Linked DNA regions of Cricetulus griseus. The protein of the gene in region 1 purifies or fractionates together with the protein of each later gene. This does not show direct contact. Links are inferred from orthologs where the notes say so. Each region holds a gene or a part of one and is shown in the gene's direction. Other genes may lie near its edges. The genes, in order: Grb2, Map4k3, Inppl1, Arhgef5, Garem2, Pik3ap1 and Anxa2.

Region 1 (4,120 bases):
GCCTGCCTTTCCTTTTGCCGGCTATGCTCTTACCCTGGCTCCTCTCCTGTGGAACTCCTACTCAGCCTCCAATAATCACATCACCTACTTTGTGAAGTCTTTTATATAGTGGGCAGAGGAACAGAGTGAGCCTTTCTCCATCTTTTTGGCTTCTGAAGCATTTCCCCAAACTGCTGTAACAGTACTAAGTCATTATTTAAATGCTTAGAAAATTATTATTATTATTTTATTATTATTTTGGTTTTTCATAACAGGGTTTCTCTGTGTAGCTTTGTAGACCAGGCTGGCCTGCCTTTGCGTCCTGAGTGCTGGGATTAAAGGCGTGAGCTACCACTGCCCGGCCATAATATTATTGTTATTATTTTGTTATTGGTTTTTTCAAGACAGGGCTTTTCTGTGTAACAGGTCTGGCTGTCTTGGAACTCACTTTGTAGACCAGTCTGGCCTCTAACTCACTAAGGTTCGCCTGTCTCTGCCTCCTGAGTGTTGGGATTAAAGGCATAGGCCGCCACGCCGGGCTATTTGAATTATTTTTAATTATGTATAAATGTTATAGGTGTGTGTGTGTGTGTGTGCAGATGAATGCTGGTGTCAGCAGAGGCCAGAGGCACTGAATACCGTAGAGCTGGAGTTAGCCGGCAGATAGCGTTAGCCATCTGATGTGGGTGCAGGTCCTTTGGAGGAGCAGCAAGTACTTTTAAGCTCTGAGCTGTCTCTCCAGCCCAAGACATGACTTGTTTACTTTTCTGCTGGCACTCTCGACTGAATCGCTTGAAAGCCAGGATCTCTGCTCGTCGTTTTACCTTCTTCACCCAGCACAGGGCTCGCCTACACTAGGTCTGTGTCAACGAACAGAGGAACCAAACAATTCATCGAGCGAACCAGACTCCCAGACAATCTAGGCCTGGTCCTCTATTGGATCGAGCCATCCTGAGGTCTCCCTTCCCTTCTCCCTCTCCGCCTTGCTTTGGCGGAACGGGAAAGGGACGTGATCCGAGTGTGGGAAGTGCTCTCTCTTCCTCCAGGGCAGAGCTCTAAGTCACCGGCTCCGGCACACAGAGGGTTACAGCGACCCGGGGGCGGAGCCAAGCCCGTGCCACCTGCTGCGGGGTGGGCTGGCGCATGCGCGCAGGCGCCCGCTGGGCTACCTGCCGGAGGAGCGCCTGCGCTCTGGGCCTTTCCGCCGGGGGAAGTCTCGCGGGGGCGGGGCGCGGCGGGGCGGGGCCGCGTGGGGAAGTTCTCGCGGGACCCTGCCTAGGAGCGGAAGCCAGGCTGCTGCTGCTGCTGCTTCAGCGATCGGGCGGCGGCGGCGGCGGGCGGCGGTCGAGCCAGCGAGCGAGCGAGCGAGCGAGGCTGACGCGGGACGGCGGCCGGGCAGCGCGGAGCCCGCCATCGGGGAGGCAGCAGCGGGGTTTGGCGGGCGGCAGCGGCAGCGCAGGGCGGGCCGGGCTGGGCCACGGAGCGGACGGCTGCGCCACGGTGAGTGCGAGGCGGGCGGCGGGCGGCGGGCGGCGGGCGGGCAGGCGGGCGGAGAGCGGGAGCTCCGTCGTCCCGGCGCCGCGGCGGGCGGGCTGCCCGGGCGCCGATCTGCTCGGGGCTGCCCGCGAGGGCCGCTGGCGGGCCGGGGATGGCTCGGACCCGAGCGCGGTGGCCGCGCCGCCGGCTCCTCGTTTCCCCTTTTGGGGCGCTTCCTTCCTGGTGCCGGTCTTCCTCCCGCTCGTGCGGCGGCCGATCGCCTCGGCGTGGGGCAGCCCGGAGCCCGCAGCAGCCGGCAGGCGCGGTGCTGCCGGGGCCAGGCTGCCGGAGCCCGGCGGGCGGGGAGTCGGTGCCGGTGCCGGGCTAGCGCGGTGATGGATGCGCCTTTGACCCGCGCGCGGAGCAACCACGTCACCACCTCTGGGCACCTCGCGGCCGCACAGTGTGCGGGAGCCCGCCGCGAGAGAGGACCATCGCTGCCCGCACCCGGCCACCGCTCTTTGTCACAGCGTTGGGCGCGTCTGTTTGAGAACTACTAGGAAAATCCTTGTCGGGAGGGGGAAGCAGCAGCGGCAGCAGATGATGGGAATGCGGGAGCAAGGATTCCAGCGAGAGAGCCCCGCTGGTTCATGCCCGTTTGCAGCGCTCCTGCGAGCCAGAGTTTGTTTGGAAAGTGGTTTTTTTTTTTTTTTTTCTCTTTTTTTTTCAAGCTGCCTTCAAATGCAATAGCAGTGCCGTTTGCAGAGGAGCCCAAGCGCGCTCAAGGTCCATCTTCTGGTTCTATTGACACTCATAAGAGGCTAGAGAAATGGGCTTTATTTTGACTTCCGCACCCCTCTTCACTTTGCTCTCCGGTTTTTGCCTTCTCAGTCTCCTTTCCACTCCATTTGTAGCGCTAGTCATTGGCCCCTCCACCCTCCCTTTAAAAATAATCTACTTCCCCTTCTTGCTGTTCCTCCGCTATAATTTTCGAAGTTTCTGCCCTTTTGGGCACTGTTAATTTTCCCCGTCGTCCCAAGATGCCTTTTTCTTTTTTTCGGGAAGATACCTTTCCTCCTGTTTTCATTCCTTTACTTTTAAACGACCACTGTATTCCTCAGCCAGAAGGGCTGCTAGCTCCTCATGGGGGGGGGGGTGGCGGGACGGGGACTAAGTTCTCTCCTGGGAACTGGGAGACTCAAAGGACTTAATTCATTCCAAAGTAGTCCATAGAGCCACCAGATCACAAGGGGGTTTTGCCGATTTTCTTGCATCATTTGTATTTTAGTGTTTTCTTCACAGATCATGGCCTTACACCTAGTATTTTCTTTCTCTTTCCTGTGTCTTTTCACTGTTAAGGAAGATTGAGAAATTTGGGGGCTAAAAGACTCCTTTTTGAGTTTTTAGTATGGCTAAGAGCTAATTGTCAAACGAAAGTCAGCTGTGGATTTTATGAATTAAGATAGCTTGAAAAAATAAGGGGACAGAGCTTTAGAAATTTGTGAATTAAAGCCTACCCATTCTAACTACTAATTTAGTCCTTACCAGGCTTTTAAAAATGATTTATTTTATTTTTGTGTGGGTGAGTGTATTTTGCCTGCATGTATGTAGGTGCCCCATGTGCATGCCTGGTGCCCTCAGAGGCTAAAAGAGGATAAATACCCTGGAACTGGAGTTACAGAGAGTTGTGAGCTGCCATGTGGGTACTGGGAATTGAACCCTGGTCCTCTGGAAGAACAGCCTGTGCTCTTAGCAGCTTGAGCTGTTATCTCTTTAGCCCATCTTTCCAGGTCAGTTGTTAGGTTTTAAGTGCTATTTATTGGTGGTACTGAGGGGTTCTTCAGTGATTTCCATTATGTCAAGTGTGTAGCAGCGCTTGTTATGTAGCATTATGGAGTGTTGGACTTAGGAGAGGTGACCACAGAACAGAGCCACCATGCTCCCCCCACAGAAGTTAGGACATACTGAGGAGCTTTACCAGTGATTATTGAGATTTGCTCTTATAGTGTTTGCCAAAGTTGGTTTTCCCCAGAGTTGTGCCAAGTTGAATATGTATCATTTTTATTTTGTTCAGGCATAGTACATTTTCTGGAATGCAAATTTTAAAATTTGCTTAAGATTCCACTCAGGTTTTAGCTGTGATTCTTAAAATTTGTATGCATAAACATTACCTGGCAATAAGTTAACTAGAAATTTTTTTTATCCAATTACTTTTTTGAGACACGTTCTTGATTTATATATAGTCTACACTGGACTCAAACCTTTTATTTATTTACTCATTTACTTACTTTAAGGCAAGGACTCTCTGTGTAGCCCTGGCTGTCCTGGCACTTTCTATGTAGACCAGGCTTACCTCAAACTCACAGAGATCCTCCTGCCTTTGCTTCTCAAGTGCTGGGATCAAAGGTGGGCACCAGTATGCAAATAGGCATAGCCCTGCTTCAAACTTTGTATCATCCGGCTTCAGCCTTCCCCCAGGGCTAGAATTTTAGGTTTATGCTACCATACTTGGTAGGGGTATTCTTTACTTTTTTAATTAGGCTGTGGTGGAACTCCAGCAGTGTAGTGTAGTGTAAATGTTTCCTCTGAGATTGAAACATTTTAGTATGAAGCAAATAATTCAAAATGGCTGCAGGAAGGCCCTGAAACTGACCGGATTCACCAG
Region 2 (3,500 bases), on another chromosome or scaffold:
CTATTCCCAGCAAATATACACATGGCAGCTCATGTCTGTCCAGGGGTTCTTCTGGCCTCCTTAGGAACCAGGCAGGGAAGTGGTACACAGAGAGACATGCAGGCAAAACACCCAGAACACATAAGAAAGTAATTTTCTTTAATTCATGTGTATATAAATCTCAATGCCTAGGAAGGGAATCTCCATTACCTGGAGTACAGATGTCTCCTATAATTGGTATTACCGTACTCAGTATCTTTAGTGAAACATTAAATGATGTAAAGCTCAGATACATATGTAAGTTAATAAATATTTCTGAAGTGTTTGTGAGGATGTTTGAAAATAATTCCTATATAATTTATTTTTTCAAATATTAAACTTATATTGCCAGATTGCTGAACTGGCACTTCCTTTATGGTAATTTACCCTAGTTACCTTAGCAAATATTAGGTCTGAGTAGTCCTTTTATAGAAATTTGATTATAGTTTGAAATACATGTTGTACTATAGCAAAATAAAAGACATGCAACATTAGTTTTGTGGTAAATAAACCAGATTGAACTCTCAGACTTAAAAAACATAACCTTTAAATGTCTTATCTTTAATTTTTAAACAACCTATTGATGGAGAAAGCCCCTTTTACTTTTTTCTCTTTAAAAATACTGTAGAGCCAAGTGTGGTGGTACACACCTGTAATCCCAGCACTTCGGAGGTGGAGGCAGGAAGATCAGGAGTTCGAGACCAATCTCAGCTACATAGTGAGTTCAAGGCCACCCTCGATTACATAAGACCCTTTCCCCAAAACGACAGCAACACCACACACACACACACACACACACACACACACACACACACACACACACATACACACACCCTGAGGAACTTTTATACTGAAGTTGGGAATAAAAGGTGTCAAATGCATTCAGAACATGAAGCCCAAGGTGTTCAATAGCACACTGAACTCGAAACAGATGTCTTTACAGAGACTTGTGGAAGGAAGATGTATATAATATAGCCCTTTGCAATATTTTAAGGTTTGTCTTTGGTTCTCCCAAAGTCTGTTACATGCTCCATTATTCACTGTCTCTACTGTGAGACAGCTGGGACACACCTGCTTTTTAATTTCGTCTTTATTTAACAGGAAAAGATTGCTGGATGAGAAATATTTTGCTGCCAGTCAGTTTCAATAATGTCATAGTTCTTTGAAGTGTTTTAATTTTAAATATACCCTAATTGCTTAATAAAAGACATCATTTCTTAACAAAAGACTTTAAAATAGCTCCCTTCCAAGAAACTTAACATGGTTTTATCTGAAGGATTTCCATAAATACAGAAAATATCTCTCAGAGTTTATGAGGTAAAGATAGAGGGGATGATTGTGTTTTTAACTTCTATTGCCTGTCTGTCACACACTAGTTTCTCAGGAAATCTTGAGAGTATTGTTTGGGCATCAGTGTCTCCTAAAGATAATCTGAGGCCTGGGAGATGGTTTGGTGGGTGCAGTGCTTTCGTGCAAGCAAGAAGAACTGAGTTTGGATCCCTGGTACCATGTGTTGTGTATCTGAAACTTAGTGCTAGGGATCAGAGTCAGGAGGACCCCAGGAGCTTGTTGGCCGTCCAGTTTAGCTGAAACAGCAAGTTCCAGGTTCAATGAGAGGCCCTGTCTAAAAAAAAGAATAGAATTGTAGAAAGCACCCAGTGTTGATCTCTAGCCTACATACAGAGCACAGGCAAGCACAAAACACACGCAACGGTCTACACACCCCACAGACACGTTCAGAGCTCTTGACAAAAGCTTAGTTTAGCTCATTTATACTTAAAAAGTAATTTTGTTAACTCTCCAATTCTTTTATTTAATACACACTGGTCACATGAGCTAGGCAATTGCATCTGATGATGTTCAAAGCCCATGGCAGATCTTCTGAGTTTAAAATCAGAAATTGAATCCCAGCACTCGGGAGGCAGAGGCAGGCAGATCTCTGTGAGTTTGAGGCCCGCCTGGTCTCCAGAGCAAGTGCCAGGATAGGCTCCAAAGCTAGATAGAGAAACCCTGTCTTGAAAAACAAAAAACAAAAAGCAAATCAGAAATTGTCCAGAACCATAATTTACAAGATGAGACTCTTTGCTTCAAATGTAAATATAAATGGCACCCTTATCGGTTGAACTGACAGGAGCCAGCTCTGCTGTGCCCATTGTCCACATCACCATCAGAACACAGGTGTCCCAGTGCAACCATTGTGCATGACCTGTAAGCGATGTCCATCCATTTAAAATGCAGCAGTCCACAACTCTTTTTTTGTTTAAGACAAACATTGTAAATTTTGTAGTTTTCTGTAGCCTTATCTGACTGTATTTGTGTTGTAGATACCCCACAGACAAACGTCACTCATGTAACCCAGCTGGAGAGAGACACCATCCTCGTGTGCTTGGATTGTAAGTTTCCATTTGCATCTTCTCGGGTAACATTCCTCTGTTCATACTATTGAGTGACTTCTATTTTTCTCTAGGTTGTATAAAAATAGTGAATCTCCAAGGAAGATTGAAATCTAGCAGGAAATTATCATCAGAACTCACCTTTGATTTCCAGATAGAATCCATAGGTGAGTCGTTGTTTTGTATTTCTTTGCATTGTGAACTGTTTAAAATGATCTGTCTAATAGTTAGTGACGTTGCAAATATATATTGTTAGGGCCTTTTTCATTTGGATATGATAGTATGAGGTCACTATTAGTCTCCCCTCTTCTACATTCTCTAAGTGTGTGTACTAGTCATATACGCTGTAAATGTTCCCTTCGTCACAGATGTGGCATTCACAAAAGAAAGTTAAACAGTATTTCTTAAAACATGTTTATGAGTTTACATCTCCTCCAGAATCCTATGGATTCCCTATAAGTGCTTTAAAATTTGGCATTTGGTATGTCCTGTTGTGAATATACCATTGTTGCCTGGTACTCAGAGTTCCTTCAGCTGAGAGCAGTGATGCATCCATGTATTCACAGAACTCAAGAGGCTGAAATAGGAAGATTTAGAGGTCATGGCCAGCCAGGACTATGTAGGAAGTTCCAGTCTAGCCCCAGCAACCCAGCAAGACCCTGTCTCAAAAAAAGAAACAAAACAAAACAAAATTTACTTCTTGCCTTATTTATGTCTGTGTCCTCTGTCCCACTATTTCTGCTTTTAATGCTGTGCCTCAGAAAATATTGCGCAGGTTTTCAGAAACATACACAAGAATTACTGTTGTGCCGTCATCTATAATAAGGAAAAGTAGAAATAATTGCTCATCAAAACAAATGGATGACAGTGGAGACGTCAACATAAAGTTACCATGACAATGTGGAACTAGTTAATATAAACATGTCTGAGAATGATAAATACAAAGTTGATTACAGTGCTGTCCAAGAGAGGAGGGCCAGCCAGATGAAATTTGGGTTGGCTTTAGGGGATCTAGGCGTGTTTGTCTTTGTTTGAAGCAAAGGCAAACATGGTAGAATATTTAGATTTGATAATTGGGAAGAAATGCAT
Region 3 (2,817 bases), on another chromosome or scaffold:
CAGAAGGACTCTCAACAGCTTCTGGAGGCTTTTCTGATCACTTTGGTCACCCTTATGAGAGGCTTTTATCACCCATTTGAGCTCAGGTTTCAGTTATAAAAGAGCTGAGAATGTGAGCATATGAGGAAAAGGAGTTAGGGTTTTACCTTCAACACTCCCCCTCCAGTTTCAGAGGTTATGAAATCAAAGGCTCAGAGTGAGTCCACTTACCCAAGGTCATGTGCAATTCAAGGACTAGGACCTTGGTCCCTTCTTCCCCAGCTCCCTCCCCTGTACCCACCGCTTTTACTTTGGGTTCTGATGGTTTTCCTGCTCTCAAAATAGGCTGAAGTCAGAGGGGACAGCTGAGCTGGAAGGAGTGGCAGCCCCTGCACCCAAGAACAGCTTCAATAACCCTGCCTACTATGTCCTGGAAGGGGTTCCACATCAGCTGCTGCCCCTGGAGCCACCCCCATTTGCCAGGGCCCCTGTCCCACCTGCCACCAAGAACAAAGTGGCCATCACAGTGCCTGCTCCCCAGCTTGGGCGCCACCGGACTCCTCGTGCAGGAGAGGGAAGCTCATCGGATGAGGACTCTGGGGGCACACTGCCTCCTCCAGATTTCCCACCTCCACCACTGCCGGACTCAGCCATCTTCCTGCCCCCTAGCCTGGATCCTTTATCAATGCCAGTGGTCAGGGGCCGAAGCGGGGGTGAGGCCCGTGGTCCACCACCTCCCAAGGCCCATCCCAGGCCACCACTACCCCCAGGCACCTCACCTGCCAGTACTTTTTTGGGGGAGGTTGCAAGTGGGGATGACCGATCTTGCTCAGTACTGCAGATGGCCAAAACACTCAGCGAGGTAGATTACGCTCCTGGGCCTGGACGCTCGGCACTCCTCCCCAGCCCCTTGGAATTGCAGCCTCCCCGAGGGCCTTCCGACTATGGCCGACCCCTCAGCTTCCCACCACCCCGCATCAGAGAAAGCATCCAAGAAGACTTGGCAGAGGAGGTGTGTAGACCAGGGCCTGATGGCAGGTGTTCCTTCATTCTGTCACCCAGAACTCACTGGTGTCCACAGCCCCCTTTGCTTGTAGCTGGGTAATGGGCCTTTTGGAGACACAAGGATCAGCTTATTCCTTGCCTTATTTCCCCTCAGAGCATGGGTAGAATGTGGCTGTTTGCATGTGTTTCTGTGAGGAGCCACCCTTAGTTCTCCCCCTAACATGCCGTATTCCCTTAGGCTCCGTGCCCGCAGGGCGGGCGGGCCAGCGGGCTGGGAGAGGCGGGCATGGGTGCCTGGCTGCGGGCCATCGGCTTGGAACGCTATGAGGAGGGCCTGGTGCACAATGGCTGGGACGACCTGGAGTTTCTCAGGTGGGGGCGGGGTTGGAGGTGGACAGGGAGGGGTGTCTGGCCTCAAGGGTGGGATTGTGGGCCCTAGAACCTCTTAGCCCATCTCTCAGCTTCTCTTAATTCCTGCAGTGACATCACTGAGGAAGACCTGGAGGAAGCTGGGGTGCAGGATCCTGCTCACAAGCGCCTTCTTCTGGACACCCTGCAGCTTAGCAAGTGATAAGAGATGGCTGCCGAGCTACAAAAGCAATGCTCTTTCCCCTTTGGGAAGGGCATGTGCAACCATGGGCTGAAAAGTTCCGAGGGGCGTGGCAGTGCATTTTTGTCTATTTATTGGGGATCAGTGTTCCCTACTGCCTAGTTTGGGATGTTCTAATTAGGACAAAGAGCTCCCCACCTAGCTTTTAGGTCCAGGGTCGGGAGTTCAGTAGCCTGTGGTAAAATGAAGCACACTGGTTACTCTGGTGTGGACATCTCCCAGCCTCAGGGTTGTATGTGGGGTATAGTTGGGTACATCCTGGTCCCCACTAACACCAATGTTTCCACTTCCCTCCCTCGGACCTGAAACACACGAGTTCCTCCTTGCAACTCCTACTCTGGGGACGTCCTCCGGAAATGAAGGAAGAGCCCAGAACTGGGCTGGGTTTATTTAAGTTTTGCTGTGTGGGTTTTGGAGAGGGAGGGCACATTAATTTTATTGGGGTGGGGCAGGACCTCGGCCATAAAATGCAGATTTACCTAGTTCTGGCAGTACCTCTGGTTCATAGAGCCCTTGCCCAAGGAATGCGTGGCAGTCTGCTGTAGAGAAGGAGGGAGCCTCGCTGGTTGTCACCTGTCACCGCACTGGAAGACAGGGTTTTTGCCAACAGTTTATCCCATCTTGGGCACTCGGAAAGGTTGCTGGCTTGATGTCTTCAATAAATTAAGTTTTATTTGGATTGAGCAAAATCACCTTAATAAATTACAAGTTTTTTCAAAGAAAGTAAGGGGAAAGGAAAGCCACTTTGTTACGTTCCCGACAACCCTTCCCCTCTACTGTGTGGTGTGTGTCTGCCCTCTGCACCAGACTGGCTAGGGATGGGAAATTGGTAATGGGACCCCTCAGGTTGCTGATTTTAAGGGGTGGCTGGCCCAGTTGGCGGAAAAGCACGGATCTGTCAGTTCTGCTTCTTACGACCCTCTATGATTGGGCACTGTTAGAGACAGGTGTAATTTGATCCCCGGTTTCTAAGAAAGCCAAGCTAGAAAGGGCTTCTGGCCGCCCTGGAGGGGATCCTGGTGAGAATACTCCTCTCCGCTGGGTGCCGGTGGGTGAGGACAAGAGTGGCCCTGGCTTGTTTAACAATGTAAGGGATCCACATCTAGGGATCAGACACTGGGCAGTGGGGACAACGGGGCGCTTTTCGGCAGGCGGCCGGGATAGGGAGGGACTGTCGGGTCCAGTAGGATAGGGGTGTCTCTTGGGGCAGGCTGGGTGCCTCC
Region 4 (3,500 bases), on another chromosome or scaffold:
GGGCAATGACCACTGGCAGTTCCTGGAACTCTTTGACAAAGGTCTTCAATGCTAATTGAATCGTTTGTAATCAGTTTTTCCCACGAGACTTCAAGATCCACCAGGAGCTTTGTCTTGGTCACGGCTGATTGTCCTACACTTAAGGGTCACTAGGTAACGTGTGTGTGTGTGTGTGTGTGTGTGTGTGTGTGTGTGTGTGTTGTGTGTGTGTGTGTCTGTGTGTGGTGTTCTGTTGTAGAGGCCAGACATCTTCCATGAAGGCTCTCCGCCTTGTATTTTGAGACAAGTGCTCACTGAACTGGCACTCATGGATTGACTAGACTGTCCCTGGCCACCCCTGCACTTTCATATTACAGTCACATATTACTACTCCTGGTATTTTTTTGTGTGTGTTGGGTCCTTGTGTGTGTGTGCCAACTGAGCCACCTTCTCATTCTCTCTAGATAAATTTTTATTACACTTAGCAACTGAACCATCTCCCCAGCCCCTCTAAGTCTCTTGGGAACTATAGAGATGAGTTAACAGTTAAGAACACTTGCTGCTCTTTCAGAAGACCAGGGTTCAGTTCCTAGCACCCATATTAAAGGCTCACAAGCACCTATAACCCTAGTTCCATGTGATCAGTTGCCCTCTTCTGCACTCTGTGGGCACTGCGTGTACATACAGATTATGTATACATAAAAATAAATGTAAAAATGAAAAACAGGAATTGTAGCTTGGTTTAATTTAAAAATAAAGTTAAGCAACACATACAAGGGCTGGTGCCCATTTCATTGTCCTGAAGAGTGATCCTGAATTGAACTGAAGAAGTTTCCCATTCGTCTTCTTTGTGATCTCTCCCCTGTACACAAACACAGATGAGGCACTGGAAACTTTGTTTTGTATTCTTCTTTAGGATTCAGCCCTGATGGAGGCTGGAGAGCCTGACCATGGAGCATCTGCACCCATTTCTGCTGTAGAAGAAGTTCAGGCGATCCCTGAAGCTATCATGAGGAGCAGTCAGATCCCTGCCTTGGAGCCCGAAGCTCAAGAAGGCCAAGACCCATCCTACAAGTGGGCAGATGGACACAGACCCTTGATGAACCATCCGAAAGAGTTAAGGGACATGAGTGACCACACACCTGATAGCATGGGGTTTTTCTTAAAGGAAGTTTCTTCAGATGTGGAGGCCAACCAGGAAATCCTTGTGGCCGAGGCCTGTGACACTGTAGATCAGCGGGAACCAGTATCCCAGAACCTTAAAGACAGACTGTCAAGAACAATAGCTGTCCCTGAGCTCCTGGCCTGTGCTGTTCAGGAAGAATGGCTAGACATTTCCAGCAACGTGGACAGCAGAGTGGAGATAGAATTGCAGCCAGAACTCATGTCTTTGGCATTGGCAATTAGCAAAGCAAAAGAAGAAGAAAGGTCTCCAGGCCCCTCTCTCCCTAGAGGATTTTGGCCTCCCTGCACAAAGCACCCTGGTGAGACTGAGGGCCATGGGAGTGACCAGCTCAAGCAGGGGAAACAGCTGCAGCTGGAAGACACACAAGAAAAGCAAGGGCAAGGACTCCTCCAACCCCAGGAGGCCCAGGGACTGGAGGAGCAGGAAGGACAGGAAGTGGAAGTTGAGGAGGAAGGAACTCTGAGGGAAAACATTTGCACTGATGGGCTTCCTGGGGAGCAGGAAGAGGAGGAAGAGGGGGTTAATGGCAGTGAGGAAGAACAGAAAGAGGAACAGGTCCAAAACCATGTAATGCTTGGAGGACAAAGGGAGAGCAGTGAGCTCAGTGGGGAGTTGGAGGGTCTGGATTCCAGGGAGTGGGGTCAAGAGGACAGGCGCGGGAGGGATCCAGAAGAGGAGGGACAGGACAGGGGATGCAGGGCGGTGGAAGGCAGGCGGAGGGCTGCTCAGTCTGCAGAGAATCAAAGGTTAGTGGAGAAATCAGAGGGTGTGAGTGGAAAGCAGGAAAATCATGGTGGCACAGGAAAAGCAGTGCCAGCAGAGGACCAGGAGGAGGTCGTAGCCTCAGGTGAGGGTGGGCAGGCAGCAGAGGAAGGGAGAACAGAACAGGACAAGCATTGTCCTCCGGTGGTTCTCGTAGCTCCTGAGGTTCTGTCGTCAGGTACATTGTTTCCAGGCGTCTCTTGCCCTGTGGCTGATATTCCTGGGGTTCAGAGGGAGCCCGTTCCCCAGGAACTGATCCCCCAAGTTCTGACTCCTGCACCAGAGCCAATAGAGTGGTCTCTCCAACCCATTTCTCCACCTGACTCTTTTGCTACTGAAGAACCCTTGGATGATAGGACTCACAACAGCCGGCAAGAAGCCGGGGTGAGGAAGGAGACAGTGTCCATCCAGGGGACTGATGTTGTCTCTTCTAATATAGCTATGACTCCTCCAAGGACACCCAATTCAGCTCCTTCCAGTCCTGCTGAAGTCTTACCGATCACTGCCACCTTGTCACCTGTTAGCTCTCCAGTTGTCCTTCCTGGGAAGGACACCCTAGCAGCCTCTCTCTCAACTGACACACCGCCTCATTGTGGGCCATTTGAGACTCCTCCAGTACCTGCAAAAACTACCAAGGACCCATGTGGTACCTTTGACAAGGGCAACCCTCACAACCCTCTCACCAGCTATACTGGAGCCACCCAACATCTAAGAAGTAACTCGTTCCCAGGCTTTCACAGGACAGAACAGACTCCAGACTCTGTGGGAATGTCTTTTTCTTTCACTCATTTGGAGTTACCGCAGAGGCCCCCCAAACCCGCCATCTATGGCTCTTTGATCCCGAGGAGAAACAGAAGAAGTAGGGACGGCATCGTCTTTTCAGAATCCTCTGCTGCTTTCCTTGGTGTGAGACAGGACTCTGAAGAATTCCCTTCAAATCCAGACAGGCCGAGCGATTCTTGCGCTGGTCAGCTGTGGGGCTCCCCACAGCACTCAGCCTTTGCTGTAGGTTCTCCGGTGAATGTTTCTTCTCCACCCACTGTCTCCATGGATACGAGGACACCTGAAGCTTTGCCCCCTCCTCCCCCAGAAAAGAGACATAGCTATAGCTCCTCAGTAGAGAGAGATGGCCATCTTCATGCAGGAGCCCCCACACTGAAGCGACATAGTCATCCTCCTCCATTGGCCCTGAGTTCGGGGGTACATGGATCTCCTAGAGGCCCATTTCCCCTAGTTCCTGAGTCTGTTGTGGCAAGACAGCACCGCCCTCTGCCATCCACCCCAGAAAGTCCCCACCACACTCAGGCTTCCATCTCAAGGCCGAGATACAACAAACCATTACCCCCAACTCCCTATGAGCCTGAGCACAATTCTCCCATCTCCCCCTCTAGTATACCAAGGATATACAGGCCTCTACCTCCAGTCCCTCCCTCTGAACCACCGCCATTACCCCCGAAATCCAAGGGGAGGAGCAGGAGTATCCAGGGGGGAGTTATACATTCAGGGGATCAAGCCAAACCAAGACCCACTGGCCAAGACTGGCCAGTCTCCACTCTCTGTGCTGGACGGACCT
Region 5 (4,240 bases), about 110 Mb from region 1:
AATCTCAATGCATTCCCGGGGCTAAAGAGTGCTTTCAAAGGACTGATCCTGCAGAAGACTCCCTGGTGGCTACAAGTGGTGACTAGGTCCAGGTGGGTAATGGCACCAGTCAGCTGGGCACAGGAAGTGATTGATGGGCTTTGTTCCTTTGCAGTGTGATTTCACAAGTTTATGATCCCAGATGCTTGAGGCAAAAGGTTTGAAAGTTCAAGGGCTGGCTGTGCTAGACAGGAAGTTCAAGGCCAGTCCAAGCAACTTACTGAGCCTTATCTGAAGACCAAAAGTGAAAGACAGGCTGGGGATGTATCTCAGTGCTAGAGCACTTGTTTGGCATGTGCCAGGTCCTGGGTATAAAAAAATAAAAGGAAAAAGCTGGGGGCTGGTGTCTGCACTTGACACTGCGGCTCAAGGCTGTGATGCCCATTGCATTGAGGGAGGTTAAGGCAGGAAAGTGAGCTAACTTAGACCACACACACACACACACACACACACACACACACACACACACACACACACACACTCCCTTGTCTCAAAGAAACAAAACAAAAACAAATAAAGTGTCATCTGCTGCCATTTCCTTTGGGGCTCAAGGCCAAATGTCAAATGCATCAGATGTAAGGGTTTGTGTATACACACGTGGAAGTTTCTTGAGGGCACAGAGTCCATGCATGGAGCCTTTTAAGGACCAGCTTAGGGGCCAAGGTCCACTTCTTGGAGGGCACTCAGCTACGACCCGCCTGCACCTGCAGAGGGCGCCGCAGGCACACTGAGGTGAAGAGAGCCTCAGGCTGGGTGCGAGGTCATGGCCAGCACAGCTTCTGGGAAGGCTTGTCTTCCTAAGGGAACTCCTGAGCTGCAGCAGGAAGGGATGAACGTTGACGGGGAAAGAAAGAGAAGATGAAAAAACGAGTTCAGCCACTGGCCCAGTCGTTCAGGTGCCTGAGCCTGTTTCCCATCTGTAGTGTGGGCTGGGATGGGGATGGATTTGGAAAGTGCTCTTACAAGGATTCGGAGACAACTTAGATCCCAAGTGTCACCTTCCTTTCTGCTCCCCCTAGTCTAAGCATCCCCGCCGCTCGCTAGCCTCCAGCTTGGAGTAGCCGATGTGGGTAACGCAGCAGAGATGGATACGGACTCCACGAAGCAGTGGCACAAGGGGACACCTAGGACACCGGGCCAGGACCCCATGGACCTGGTTCTTCTCCCCATCCCGAGCGTGGGGTCGCCGGCGGTCACCTGGGCACTCCGGGGGTCGCGGGCCCGGCGGGCGGGGCGCGGGGCGGGGATGGGGGCGGGGGCCGGCGCCCCGTGGGAGGAGGCCGGCCACGTGACTCCCGCAGCCCGGCCGGGCTGCTAGGAGGGGAGCTCTGCTAAGGCCCCGGGTGGTGGCGGCGGGCGCGGAGCCCGAGCCGCGCGGGACTGGCCGTCGGGGCCCCGAGACGGCGGCCCCCGGAGAGCTCCGATGCCATGGAGAAGCTGGCAGCCGGGCTGGCCGGACTGCGCTGGAGCATGGGCGCTTTCCCGCTCGACCTCATCGTCAGCCGCTGCCGCCTGCCCACGCTCGCCTGCCTCGGGCCAGGTACCGGGTGTCCCGGGAGGGGACAGGGGTGGCGTGCAAGAGCGCCGACAGTCGGGGCCCCGCTCGCCTGGGGCTGGCGGGACCGCAGTGTGCACTTGGGCCCCTGCCCTCCCAGTCCCCGGCGATCCGAGCCTCGCCTGCCTTCTGGGGCGGCTCCTGAGACAACCGGAGCCCCCGAGCCCGGGGACCGCTTTCTGAGCCCCATCTGAGCACAGTGATAGAAACTGGCCGCACGGCTGGGACAAAGTTTTCAGTCCCCTCTGGAGCCAAGAGCGTAGCTGAGCCTCTGGGCCGCTCCGTCGGTGCACCCCGCTTTCCTGGCGCTTGTCCACCACTGCCCCGGCCGGCCGCACCCCCTTGATCCCTTTGTCTTCAGCCTCTCACCTTCGTCCTCCTGCGTCCCTTGGAACTCTTTCCCCTACCATCACCCGCTACTCCCTTTTTGGGGACATTTCTTGAACCGTCCTTTGGCATCCTAAGGTCCTCTGGTTAAGGGCGGGCTACCCTCAGGAGAGGCCTGAGTGAGCCGGCCCACTAGGCGTCCCCCCTCTCCCCCCCAGCACAGGACCCTCGGCCCTCCCCCACCTCTGGTTCTATTTCTCCAGCAGTCCCCCGGTGTTCCGATGATGGGACCGGGACCTTATTTGGGAGAGCCTGAGGGTTGCACCGAGCGAGAGGACTGTAGTGTTGGGGGAAAGGGGAGCTGTTTGGCTGGGGGAGGGGCGGGAGCCGGGGCTGGCAGCCAGGCCGGGGGGTTTTGTGTGTGAGAAGAATAGAGGTTTGGCCCGCGTTGGCACACTCGCTTCCCTGAATGCTAATGGGACTCCTGTGCTGTCTTCTTCTTGGACTGGCAGCCTCTCCTCTGACCGGCAACAGCAAGAACTGGGTACAGTGGGCACCAGGCAGGCTGGAACACGCTCTGTGGGACATCGGTGTCCGGGTCCATTAGCAGGAATACCTGGCAGTCGAACTCTTGTCGGACTTCACTTACCGCTCAGCGTGTGATCCCAAGACTGTGTGTGCAGCTGGGCTGTGTCTGCTTGTGAATAGGAAATTCTGCCCTAGGTTCTTCCTGCTCACTTCCCACGCATCTCTTTGACACCCCTTTCTTTGAGTTCTTTTCTGAGCCCTTGTGTATAGGCTAGGCCTTCTCTGCGCTGACACCTGTGCCTCTGCCACCGACCACCTGGCTTTTGGGGGAGGGCCAGACAAAGATCGTGGAGTGGACATTCATTCATTGAATGAATGAATGAATGAAGGAATGAGCAATGGTGCCTGTGACCGCGTGGTTATGACTGTGGTCACCGTTACAGTATGAATGTATACTTGAAATGTTGTGTCCTTGAGGTCCCCTCGTGGGTGTGCATTCAGGAATCGTTCCTTGATACTGAGTTGTGCTGTTTAGGTGACAGGCATTTGAACTGTTGGTGATGGTGACCCCTGTATACCTGTGTGGCTTTGGCCTGTGTCCCTATGGAAGAGTGGGTGGGGCCTACCTATTAGGTTAGGCCTAAGAAAGAGCTTGTAGAGCTGGAGAGGGCAGACCTTCATCTCTTCCAGGAGCTAGAGAGCTGAGGAGGAAGTCTCAGACAAACCTCCCCTGGCATGCTCTGGCACACACATACTCACACACAGAGTGGACGATCCTCCCTTGAAGGCCCCGGATACGGCACCCATTCATACACACCATATGGGCATGCTTTTTGAACCCCTGCACTGTTAGAGTAAACCGTTTCCCGTGTGTGGGGAGTAGGGGGCTGGGAAGGAGACATCCCCACCCCCACTGTGCCCACCAGCTGCATCCAGGATACGCCCCATCAGTCTCCTGGAAGCTGGGCTGCTAGTCCTGCTCCCCTGGAAACCGTTGCTGGGGATGGAGCCTCTTGGGCCCAGACCCCTCCCAACTCCAGCACCTCTGCCCTAGTGCTGCTTTCTGAAGCCTAGTCTCCCTCCTCCCCCTATTGCGTTTCCTAAATCCCCTGCATGTCTTACCCCAACTTTAAGGAATGGGTTCTCAAGGTGAGATTTGGGTGTCCAGGGTTCACTCCCCCGGTCCTGTGACCATGAGACTGAGTGGCAGTGGGTGGAGAGAGAGTGTCTCTCTGAATGATCCAGGAGTGGGCTCCTGTAAGCCTTGCCACTCTGAGCTAGCTGACAGTGACTTTGTGAGCTCTCCTAGACAGGACCCACAGGAACAGATTCCTCCTCGGTCCTCCCTTGCCTAGCCTAGGTCCTGACTAGGTGGGATCCTGCTGGTGTGAATTTGCCTGGTTCAAGAACAAAGTCTCTCTTACTCCACCCCTGCCTGATGATGTCCCCCTCCCCCACATCCCTACAAGCGCTCAGCTCAGTGCTTCAAACTTGCTTCCTCCCCACCTCCTGAGGCCTGAACATGCCTGGAGGGCAGGAGCTGGCTGGCCCAGACTCATCCACTGGGAGTCCCCAGCCCCGGCTTGGGCTGGGACAGCAGACACTGCAGTGGGATGATGAATGAGACGCTGTGGATGCTATAGTTGCGGAGGCCCCACAGGGAGTCAGAGCTCTGAGGTTCAGGATGGACTCACACAGCCCAGAGGCCACAGCTGACAGCTGACTGCCCACCCCCCAGTGTTGCTGAGCAGTGCAGGGATCACGGGGAGCAATTCCTGGGCAGGGGCTTGA
Region 6 (4,146 bases), on another chromosome or scaffold:
CCAAAGGACTTAGAGGTGGATACAGGAAGCATCAATTAAAGCCATTCTGACAATACAGAAATGCTTCTATAATTTCAAAGAACTCTAATAGTGTGGAACGGCATCGCTGTACATCAGAAGAGGGGTGGAGGGCAAAGATACCCTAAACAGGGAGAATGGCAGGCAGCATGCTCACTTTGGCTTTAGGAATCCTTGTGTGTGCCTGTGTTAGGCAGAGAAACTGTGTCCAAAGATGCCCAGACCCCAATCTCTAGATTTGTTAATTTGCTACATTATAGGACAAAGAACTTAAGTTGTAGGTGATATTGAGGCTGCCACCAAGGAGCTGTTAGACAGCTTTTCCTGAAGGATCCAGGCAGCTCAGTACATTCACTTGGGGTCCTTGAAAGTGGAAGAGGGAGGGGCCTGGTGAGATGGCGCAGGGTAAAGGTGCTTGCTGCCTGGCGTTGAGCCAAAGTTTGTTTCCACGATGGAAGGAGAGAACAGACGCCTGCAAGTTGTCTTCTGATCTCTCCATGTGATCTGCAGCATGTGCATGCATACTCACTCCCACACAGCACACGAAACAAATAAATAAAAACTTTTTTTTCTTTTTAAAGCGGAGGGAGATAGAAGAAAGCCAGGGAAAGAGCTCTGATAATGGAAGTGGAGCAGTAGTGTGTGGAAGGCCCTTGTCGGTGATAACATCCATCTATCACAGATTATAGTTAACACCCATGTGCCCTCAGAGGCCCAGATCCAAGAAAATGCAGAAGGGTCACAGGAGGGCACCCAAGGGCAACGCCGAGACCCCAAGAGCCAGGTGCTCCTCCTTCCCCTTCCGCAGGCCTTCCTTTTACTTGGCGGGGGGGGGGGCAGCGTCTGAAGGACAAGCCCCAAGGGACAAGGTGGTTGGGACAGCTGTGCTACGCATCCCCACCTCAAGTCCCCCAGACCAGACAGCCCTGTCCTCTCTGCTCTCCCTCCCCCGAGTTCCCGCATCTCAGGCTGCTCCTTGCGGCCACCGAGGTGGCTGCCTGCTTTCCTGAAGCACGGGACACACGTGGCACGAGCAGGGGTCAGCGCCGGGAGCTGGTGGCTGGCCCTGTGGGCTTCTCACTTCCCTTCCCCAACCGCCGCGCGTGCAGGTGCCCAGCGGAGCCCCGCAGGCAGGCGGGGCGGACCCTGTGGACACGCCCCCGTGTGAGTCCCCGCTGCCCCGCGGGAGGAAGCGCCAGAGTCGCCGCTGTCCTGAGCGCAGCTGGGTTCCACTCCGGTCCCGTGCCAGCGACATCGCCCACTGCGGCTGCGGGCACCGGGTACCGTGCTCCAGGCTGGCCGGGGATGCGAGCTGCTCCCGCGACGGCATGGCAGCCTCAGGTGGGTAGCAGGCGCGGAGCTCCTGGGCTCCCGGCTCGCGCCCCCGCCGCTGGTCCCCGAGTTTCTCTGGCGCCACCCTCACAGCCTGAGGGACTTTTTTTCTCACTTTTTTTAGTCGTTAGTGCTGGAATCTTGTATTCTTTGCGGTCTTTTCTCAGGTCTCTGTCGCAAACTTCCCCTCCCAACTTTCTCTCGTTTCGCCTGGCCGGCCTGTGAGCGATTCTCTCCAGCTCCTTCCTGAGGCTTACCCCATCCCAGTTTCGAAGTCTACTTCTCTCTCTCTAGTTCTGCCCAAGTAGTCCTAAGATCTCTTTCTCCTCTGTAACTTCTGAGTATTGAGACAGGTGAAAGGAGGTGCTTTTCTCTTAGGGTCTTCTCCGACCAATAGGGGGCGCTCAGGAAGTCCTAGGTGTTCCTGGGAGATCAGAAGTGGTCCTGGGTCAGCTTCGGAAGTCCCTTTCCTCCACCGCGTTTGTATCTTTCTTTTTTTCTGGAATTTTGCTGACACCCGAGACTGCTGCTTCGTTAGTGTTACTCTCACTGTGTTCTCTGTGGAAGTTCAGGTCCAAGGAGAATTGGAAATTGGTGGACAAATCTATCCATCAGAAGGTGACAGCGTTTCTTCTGGCTGGCTTTGGGTTTCTTTCTGGATCATGGGCGTGTACACTTGGCAAGTCCTCAGCTCGCTGAGGTCTAGGACAAGCCACATAATGATAATGATGAAAGACAATTGATGAGCCCTGTCTGTACACCTTAGTGGACAAAAGATGTGTTTTGGTCTTGGTGATGACAAGGCAGGCCTGGTCTCTGTTCACCACCGGGTTTTGGTGGTGTGAAAGAAAACAGTAAATGGAGAATTGCTAGGTGAGAAGAGAGAGTTGCCATGTTTTCGGTTTGGTTTACTTGTGTTTACCCAGCCCACATCTGATGTTTTTAGAGACAATACATGAAAACAGGAAGAAAGAACTGTAGTGGGCTGGGGGAAAGTCAGCCCTTGGAAAGGAAGGGAGCAGATGCTAGATTGAAGAACCAACCTTCTCTAGATCTGCTAAGGTCTAGCCTGAGGCCATGGTACTTAGGAACAAGGGTACAAAGGGCTCTGATGGTACAGGCTCATTATTGAAGGCAGTGGGAGGGTGGTTCGAGGACAGGGAAGGCAACAACTGATTTAATGAAGAAAGTACTTGGCATGGGTATGTGTGATGGGAAAATGGACAGGAGTGAGGGGTCTGAGTTAGAATTTTAAACAGAATGGCTAGGTGAAGAAGTCTCAGAACAAGGGAAATTAGTCAAGACCCAAAGGAGGGGAGGTAGAGGGCCCTGGGCAGGAGAGGGCTCCAGGGAAGAGCCTTGTTCTCAAGATACAGGGAACAGCTATCATGGCTGGGTGGATGGAGGGGTTGGCCAGAGGAGAAAATAAACTGGCCATTCTTCTGTCTCCTTTCCTGGCTGGAACAGGTGAACAGCAAAGTGGGAAGCCTTTGAGCAAAGGAGGCCAAGCAACCTGTTTGTCTAGAAGGCTGGCTCCAAGGGGTGTAGCTGCAGAGGCTAAGCTAGGTGGGTGGACTCAGGTTCAGATGAGAATTAGCCCAGCAACCAAACCTGGCATGCTAGGTGGAGTGGTGAATAAAGCTATCCAAACCTCTTGCTGTCAGTGTTCTCTGTGGTGAGACACCATGCCAGGTTGTGTGAGCGAGACAGGGTCCCTCTGGGGTCTCTGAGGTCTATTGCTATAAATACTCCTGAGAGCAGGTCAAGTTGGGGGAAAGCCAAGCTCTTCACTAGTTTGCCATAGGCTGGAGAGTCATCCAGGCCCCCTCCTGTATGGTGTCCTTATTTTTAAAATAATGTTATAATATGTTTATACAAAATGCTATGTGTCTAACCTTTTGACTTTGTGACATGACATCATCTCCAAAAGAGTTGAGTCACATTCATAGCTATCCTGGGACACATTCAGCTTATGGGCTACTGATTGGGCATGCCTGAAGGAATGCACCCAGTGGTTTTTAGTGTCTTCACAAATACGTGACTTTGAGAGGAATGTCACCACCTCAAAGAGAGGTCTTCCTTTTGTTGCTTCCTTTCTAGTGCACTGATCTGCCTCAGCCTATGATTGCCCTGTCCTGGACTTGCTCATGAATGGGATCGTGCAGTCTGTGGTTTTAGTGACTGACTTCCTTCACACTGCATAATGTGCTTAAAGTCCACTCAGCTGCTCAGTTGTAGCCTAATCTTTTGGTCTTCTCAAATTCCCTGCCACTGGAGGGTGAATGTCAGTCTTGTTTCCTGAAAGATGCGTATGCTCCTTTGCTTGACATCGTGGAGAATCTTGGCTCTTTGGCCTTGAAGGAACCTTGAGTAATGAGGTGAAATGCCACCAGCTTGTGCTGGAATCATTTCCCTTATTTACCAGAGAGATCGAGAAAAGAGACTAGGATTTCCCCGAGGGCACCAAGTGTGCAGCTGGTGAGAACTGGAGTCCCCACTTCCAGGCCTTGGTCCCCCAAGAGCCCGAGGAAAGCTCTCAGACCTTGTCCTGCCCCCTCTTTCCAGGTTCATCTATAGATCTTCCTATTATTCCTGGATTTATAGGATCACAGGGCCAGCACCATGGCTCAGCTAGTAAGGGTGCTTGTCACCAAGCCTGATGACTTGGGTTGGTCCCCTGGGACCCACATGGGAGTCCCTGGGGAGAGGGAGAACCGAATCCTGCAAATTGTTTCTGGGCCTCCACATATATGCCGTGGTTTCACGAATGCACACAGTGTGCACAGACACATAGGA
Region 7 (3,933 bases), on another chromosome or scaffold:
GCTATCCTGCTATCCTCGGAATGAACTGAGAGAGGAGTACAAAGTATAAACAGATGTTGTAGTCAGTTGGGAGCAGGGCTGAGAAGATAGCTCAGCTGGTAAAGAGCTTGTGGCCAAAGCAAAGGAACCTGAGTTCCATCCTCAATTCAGGCAGGTAAAATGGTTACTAACCAGCCAGTCTAAACCTAATTTGTGAGCTCCAGGCACCTTGTCTCAAATAACTCCTGAGGAACAGCGTCCCTGAGGCTGACATCTGGTTGGCTTCCACATGTGAACTACAGGCTCACACAAATAGATGGGAGAGATGATAAAGAACCATTAGGACCAGGAGAAAAGAGAGAGAGGTGAAATGTGCAGCTTAAAGACCCAGTGTGAAAGGTGTTCTGGATTCTTCTGTTAGCCTGAGGTTTGATGCAGTATGGGCAGTCACACACAGACATAGTTCACTCCTGCATTGTCCGTGTGACTGCCCCTGAAAATCAGGCTAGGAAAAAATGAAAAAATAAAATAAAACCCAGAGAAGCAATTGGTCAAGGGAATGAGAAAAACAAAACCCTAATAATCTACAATTAGGAAAGACGGTAGGAGGTCTTGTAGAGTGCTCTGAAGTGCTGCTGTCTGGGGGAAGGAGGCACCTGGGTGGGGGGGGGGTGCCTTACCTCTGAGTCTCCCTGACTGCTTGGAGGCCTTCATGCAGTTTCCTAGGCCCATTAGGCTCTCTAGGTCGTTTCAAATAAACCGCCCACCCCATGCTCCTCCATCTGGTGACCAGAGGTTAAACTAATATGTTTGCAGACGGTCATGGAGAGCTGGGTGCCAACAGCCTAACTCAGGGGAATCCAAGTATGTGTGTCTTGAAACAATTCTACCCTCCATTACCTCGACATCTAGAAGCCTATAAACAAAAGAAGAAGTGGATTGGGCAAGCCAGTCTGCTGAAATCTTAACAGCCGAGGGCCAGGCTGACCACTGGGCCCAATACCCTAGGAGTAAGGGGGGTAGGGAGGTGGAGGCTTGATGGGCCTGGGAAGGTGGTGAGGCTGTCACGTAGGGCAGGGCCGGGACTGGGCGGCGTTCCAGAGAGGGTGAGTCACCCGGAGCAGGGTGGGCACAGGCCGGGGAGGGGAGGGGAGGCGTGGCGGCTTTACGCAGGGAGGATGGGGCGGGTATAAAAGCCCCACCCAGCCCAGCCGGGCCGCTCGGCTTCTGGGGAGGCTTTCAGCGCTAGGCGCCCGGCCCAGGTAAGTGGGGCGCGGCCCGGTCATCCGCTATGGCCTCGGGGTTTCGGTGTTGAACCGGGAGCGGGCAGGCTCCGACGACGGGGACCCTGGGAGGCACCAAGAAGGATCCATCCCCTTGGGCGATCTACGCGTCCTGCCACAGAGTTGCAAAGTGTCCCGTGTGGGGTCGTGACACGTCTCTTTGCATACCACGCCTGGGGGGGGTGCAGGGCAGAGGTGGAGGAGACTGTGCTTCCCCTTGAGGTCCCCTGAGAAGCAGGGAGACCCTGTGTGGGGCGGGGAACCGAGGGGCTCGGCATTCCAGAGGTGCTAGGTGCCAACGGGGGACTGGGTGTGGCCGCTGGGGAGCCTGCAGCCCAACAGTGAGACATCTGTGGACTTTTCCCCTCCGCCTTCCGAACTGCGTCGTCCTCTCACTCTGAACCATAACTCCTGCAATTTCAGGTGTATTTCTTTGCTACTGACAAACGTAAATTTGTGAAGTCGGCGCGGGGAACCGGGCGAGGGCGGGGGCGGCGGCACCAGAACTTCAAGTCTTGAGTTCTTGGTGCCCTCCTTTACACAAAACAATCTCAGCTCAGTCTTTGTCGCGAACTCTAGATTGTTTGGTAGGACAGCGACCTCAGACCCTATTCTTTCTGAGGAGTTTGCCGCCCTGGAACGTGTGCAGAAAGAAGTATCCCCGGGTGGTTCAGTAGAGAAAGTTGCCTTGACTGCACTGAAGCCACCATGAGTCAATTGACAGAGTCTATAGAAAAGGGCGTGGCTCCTGAGCCCCAGGTTCCAATGCTGGCATGGAGGGCTGTGGCTCCAGAAGTTTCTTTATCTATAAAAGTGGTTTCCGAACCCTTGTTCTTAGCTCCACCCACACTGAGTTATTGAAGATTTCCGAAAACAAGTTCATTCAAAAATAGATAAGTAAAGCACACTGAAAACACAGCGTTGTACAAATATAAAAGAAAACAAAAAGCTGTTACTTGAGACATAGCGGTAATCTCAAAACTCGGAAGACCGAGGCAGCAAGATCCTGAGTTTGAATCCAGCCTGAGCTACAAAGTGAGACACCATCCTCCCCCTGACCCCCGTCTCAAAAAACAAACAAACAAAACGGAGAGCTGATCTAGCTCATTGGTAGAGTACCCCACTAAGACACACAAGATCCAGGCTTTTATTCCCAGAACCAGAATAACCAGAAAGTTATTCATTTGTGTAGTAATTTGCCATATTCAGTCCCAGCCCTTAACAACAACCATAAACTCTTGGAATCCAAGGTCCTCAGCCTTTAACATACAGGGGTATTATCAGATGAGTCTGCAACTTGGACTGGGAAGCCACTTCCCGGCTCTCCCCCAGGAACACTATAGAAGGAGTTTGGAAACCCATGCTAGCACACTCCCCCACCCCAATTAATTAATTTGCACTGTATCTGAGTGCTGCCTAATGGCAAGGAGCAGGATACAAGATGGGAGGGCGAGGGGTGGTCCATGGGTAGGAATAATAAATCACTGATGCGGTTTTCAGGGTTTTCTCCGTTTAGTTTTAAATATAGATTTGATTAAATCGTGTTAATTGAAAACTTGTGTCTTTGCCCCCTTCTCTGGTTTCTTTTTCCTGCTTCCCTGCCACCTTCTTGCGGTCTGTGTCCCTTGATGTGTTACGTTGGCTTTGGACACTTGAGCGGCCCCTCCTCCACACCCACTTCCTCTTCATTTCAGTGTGTGCTGCGCCCAGCCAAAGCCTGTGGGTCTGAGTCAGGGAACCTGAAGATGGCAGATGAGATCAGGGCAGAGCCCCGTCCTCTTCCACTGAGTCCACTGCTCACCTTAGATCCCGGGGTTTCTTTAGAAGAGCCCGTCGCCTCTGCTGCAGCAGGGGCAACCTCCTAGGTGCGCACCTTTCTGTTGAGGGTTTCCTGTTTGGTGTGGTAGAGAGAGAAGTTCAGGAAGTTTTGCTAACTAGCCAGGCAGCACTTAAGGCTTTGACTGAGAGCTTGGGTTTGGACTGGTGCCTCTCAATGTTTCACATCCTGTGTCTTTGAGTTATTAAAATACCCTATTGATTGGCATTACACATGCAGTCTTGGCCACTGGCTTCCTGACTAAGTTCCGATTTAAGTAGTTTTCCTGGCAAGACAGGCACTCTCCTAAATTGCTATTGATTTTTGAGAACTCTCATCTCTCTCTGCACCTTTGGGCCTGCATTAATGTGTGTGAGGGTTGATGGGAACTTTGGCTCTAATTCTTGGCTTGTGCTGGGTGCCAGACCTGTTTCATCTGGGGAGAGTGGGTGTGTTACAAAAGGAGTCCCAGGCACTGTGGGCTGCTTTCAGCATCCATTTGTCTTACAAACTGTCTTTTACGTACCCACTGTGTCCCAATCACAGTTATGGTACTGAGGATACAGTAGTAGACTAGACACACATGCATGCATATTCGTTCACTGTGTGCTTGTACATACAAACACAGCCCTTGCCTTTCAGATTTTGAATCTTTTAGGGAAAGAAAAAAAAAGAAAAGATACGTGTGTTAATTGTAGAGATAGCAATTTGATTTGACATTTTGTATTTTCCTAAACTAATATTTACTCACAAAACCAGCTGGGTCTCCATTCCCAGCTTCTATACAGTTGTTTCACAGACCTAGACATGGAGCTGAGCTTATCCCAAAGAGGTGTCTAAATAAACTGGATTTAA

The links.
Region 2: the proteins of Grb2 (region 1) and Map4k3 purify together in Homo sapiens (affinity purification with mass spectrometry; 4 studies listed by BioGRID and IntAct, with this or other methods). This does not show direct contact. The link is inferred for Cricetulus griseus from reciprocal best matches to the Homo sapiens genes GRB2 and MAP4K3.
Region 3: the proteins of Grb2 (region 1) and Inppl1 purify together in Homo sapiens (affinity purification with mass spectrometry; 3 studies listed by BioGRID and IntAct, with this or other methods). This does not show direct contact. The link is inferred for Cricetulus griseus from reciprocal best matches to the Homo sapiens genes GRB2 and INPPL1.
Region 4: the proteins of Grb2 (region 1) and Arhgef5 purify together in Homo sapiens (affinity purification with mass spectrometry; 4 studies listed by BioGRID and IntAct, with this or other methods). This does not show direct contact. The link is inferred for Cricetulus griseus from reciprocal best matches to the Homo sapiens genes GRB2 and ARHGEF5.
Region 5: the proteins of Grb2 (region 1) and Garem2 purify together in Homo sapiens (co-immunoprecipitation; 4 studies listed by BioGRID and IntAct, counting the BioPlex papers as one, with this or other methods). This does not show direct contact. The link is inferred for Cricetulus griseus from reciprocal best matches to the Homo sapiens genes GRB2 and GAREM2.
Region 6: the proteins of Grb2 (region 1) and Pik3ap1 purify together in Homo sapiens (co-immunoprecipitation; 4 studies listed by BioGRID and IntAct, counting the BioPlex papers as one, with this or other methods). This does not show direct contact. The link is inferred for Cricetulus griseus from reciprocal best matches to the Homo sapiens genes GRB2 and PIK3AP1.
Region 7: the proteins of Grb2 (region 1) and Anxa2 purify together in Homo sapiens (affinity purification with western blotting; 5 studies listed by BioGRID and IntAct, with this or other methods). This does not show direct contact. The link is inferred for Cricetulus griseus from reciprocal best matches to the Homo sapiens genes GRB2 and ANXA2.

What each region holds. Positions count from the first base shown.
Region 1 is NC_048600.1:128,301,516-128,305,635, reverse strand, and holds the start of Grb2 (growth factor receptor-bound protein 2), read left to right. Parts: upstream 1-1,320; 5' UTR 1,321-1,479; intron 1,480-4,120. UniProt on the Homo sapiens protein: Non-enzymatic adapter protein that plays a pivotal role in precisely regulated signaling cascades from cell surface receptors to cellular responses, including signaling transduction and gene expression.
Region 2 is NC_048598.1:82,523,315-82,526,814, reverse strand, and holds part of Map4k3 (mitogen-activated protein kinase kinase kinase kinase 3), read left to right. Parts: intron 1-646; coding exon 647-736; intron 737-2,342; coding exon 2,343-2,411; intron 2,412-2,485; coding exon 2,486-2,578; intron 2,579-3,500. UniProt on the Homo sapiens protein: Serine/threonine kinase that plays a role in the response to environmental stress. Appears to act upstream of the JUN N-terminal pathway.
Region 3 is NC_048596.1:97,560,444-97,563,260, forward strand, and holds the end of Inppl1 (phosphatidylinositol 3,4,5-trisphosphate 5-phosphatase 2), read left to right. Parts: intron 1-324; coding exon 325-991; intron 992-1,222; coding exon 1,223-1,356; intron 1,357-1,464; coding exon 1,465-1,555; 3' UTR 1,556-2,317; downstream 2,318-2,817. UniProt on the Homo sapiens protein: Phosphatidylinositol (PtdIns) phosphatase that specifically hydrolyzes the 5-phosphate of phosphatidylinositol-3,4,5-trisphosphate (PtdIns(3,4,5)P3) to produce PtdIns(3,4)P2, thereby negatively regulating the PI3K (phosphoinositide 3-kinase) pathways.
Region 4 is NW_023276806.1:226,147,841-226,151,340, reverse strand, and holds part of Arhgef5 (rho guanine nucleotide exchange factor 5), read left to right. Parts: intron 1-895; 5' UTR 896-907; coding exon 908-3,500. UniProt on the Homo sapiens protein: Guanine nucleotide exchange factor which activates Rho GTPases. Strongly activates RHOA. Also strongly activates RHOB, weakly activates RHOC and RHOG and shows no effect on RHOD, RHOV, RHOQ or RAC1.
Region 5 is NC_048600.1:14,173,114-14,177,353, reverse strand, and holds the start of Garem2 (GRB2-associated and regulator of MAPK protein 2), read left to right. Parts: upstream 1-1,440; 5' UTR 1,441-1,467; coding exon 1,468-1,579; intron 1,580-4,240. UniProt on the Homo sapiens protein: Probable adapter protein that may provide a link between cell surface epidermal growth factor receptor and the MAPK/ERK signaling pathway.
Region 6 is NC_048596.1:20,171,752-20,175,897, forward strand, and holds the start of Pik3ap1 (phosphoinositide 3-kinase adapter protein 1), read left to right. Parts: upstream 1-1,346; coding exon 1,347-1,359; intron 1,360-4,146. UniProt on the Homo sapiens protein: Signaling adapter that contributes to B-cell development by linking B-cell receptor (BCR) signaling to the phosphoinositide 3-kinase (PI3K)-Akt signaling pathway.
Region 7 is NC_048597.1:181,009,017-181,012,949, forward strand, and holds the start of Anxa2 (annexin A2), read left to right. Parts: upstream 1-1,133; 5' UTR 1,134-1,241; intron 1,242-3,933. UniProt on the Homo sapiens protein: Calcium-regulated membrane-binding protein whose affinity for calcium is greatly enhanced by anionic phospholipids. It binds two calcium ions with high affinity. May be involved in heat-stress response.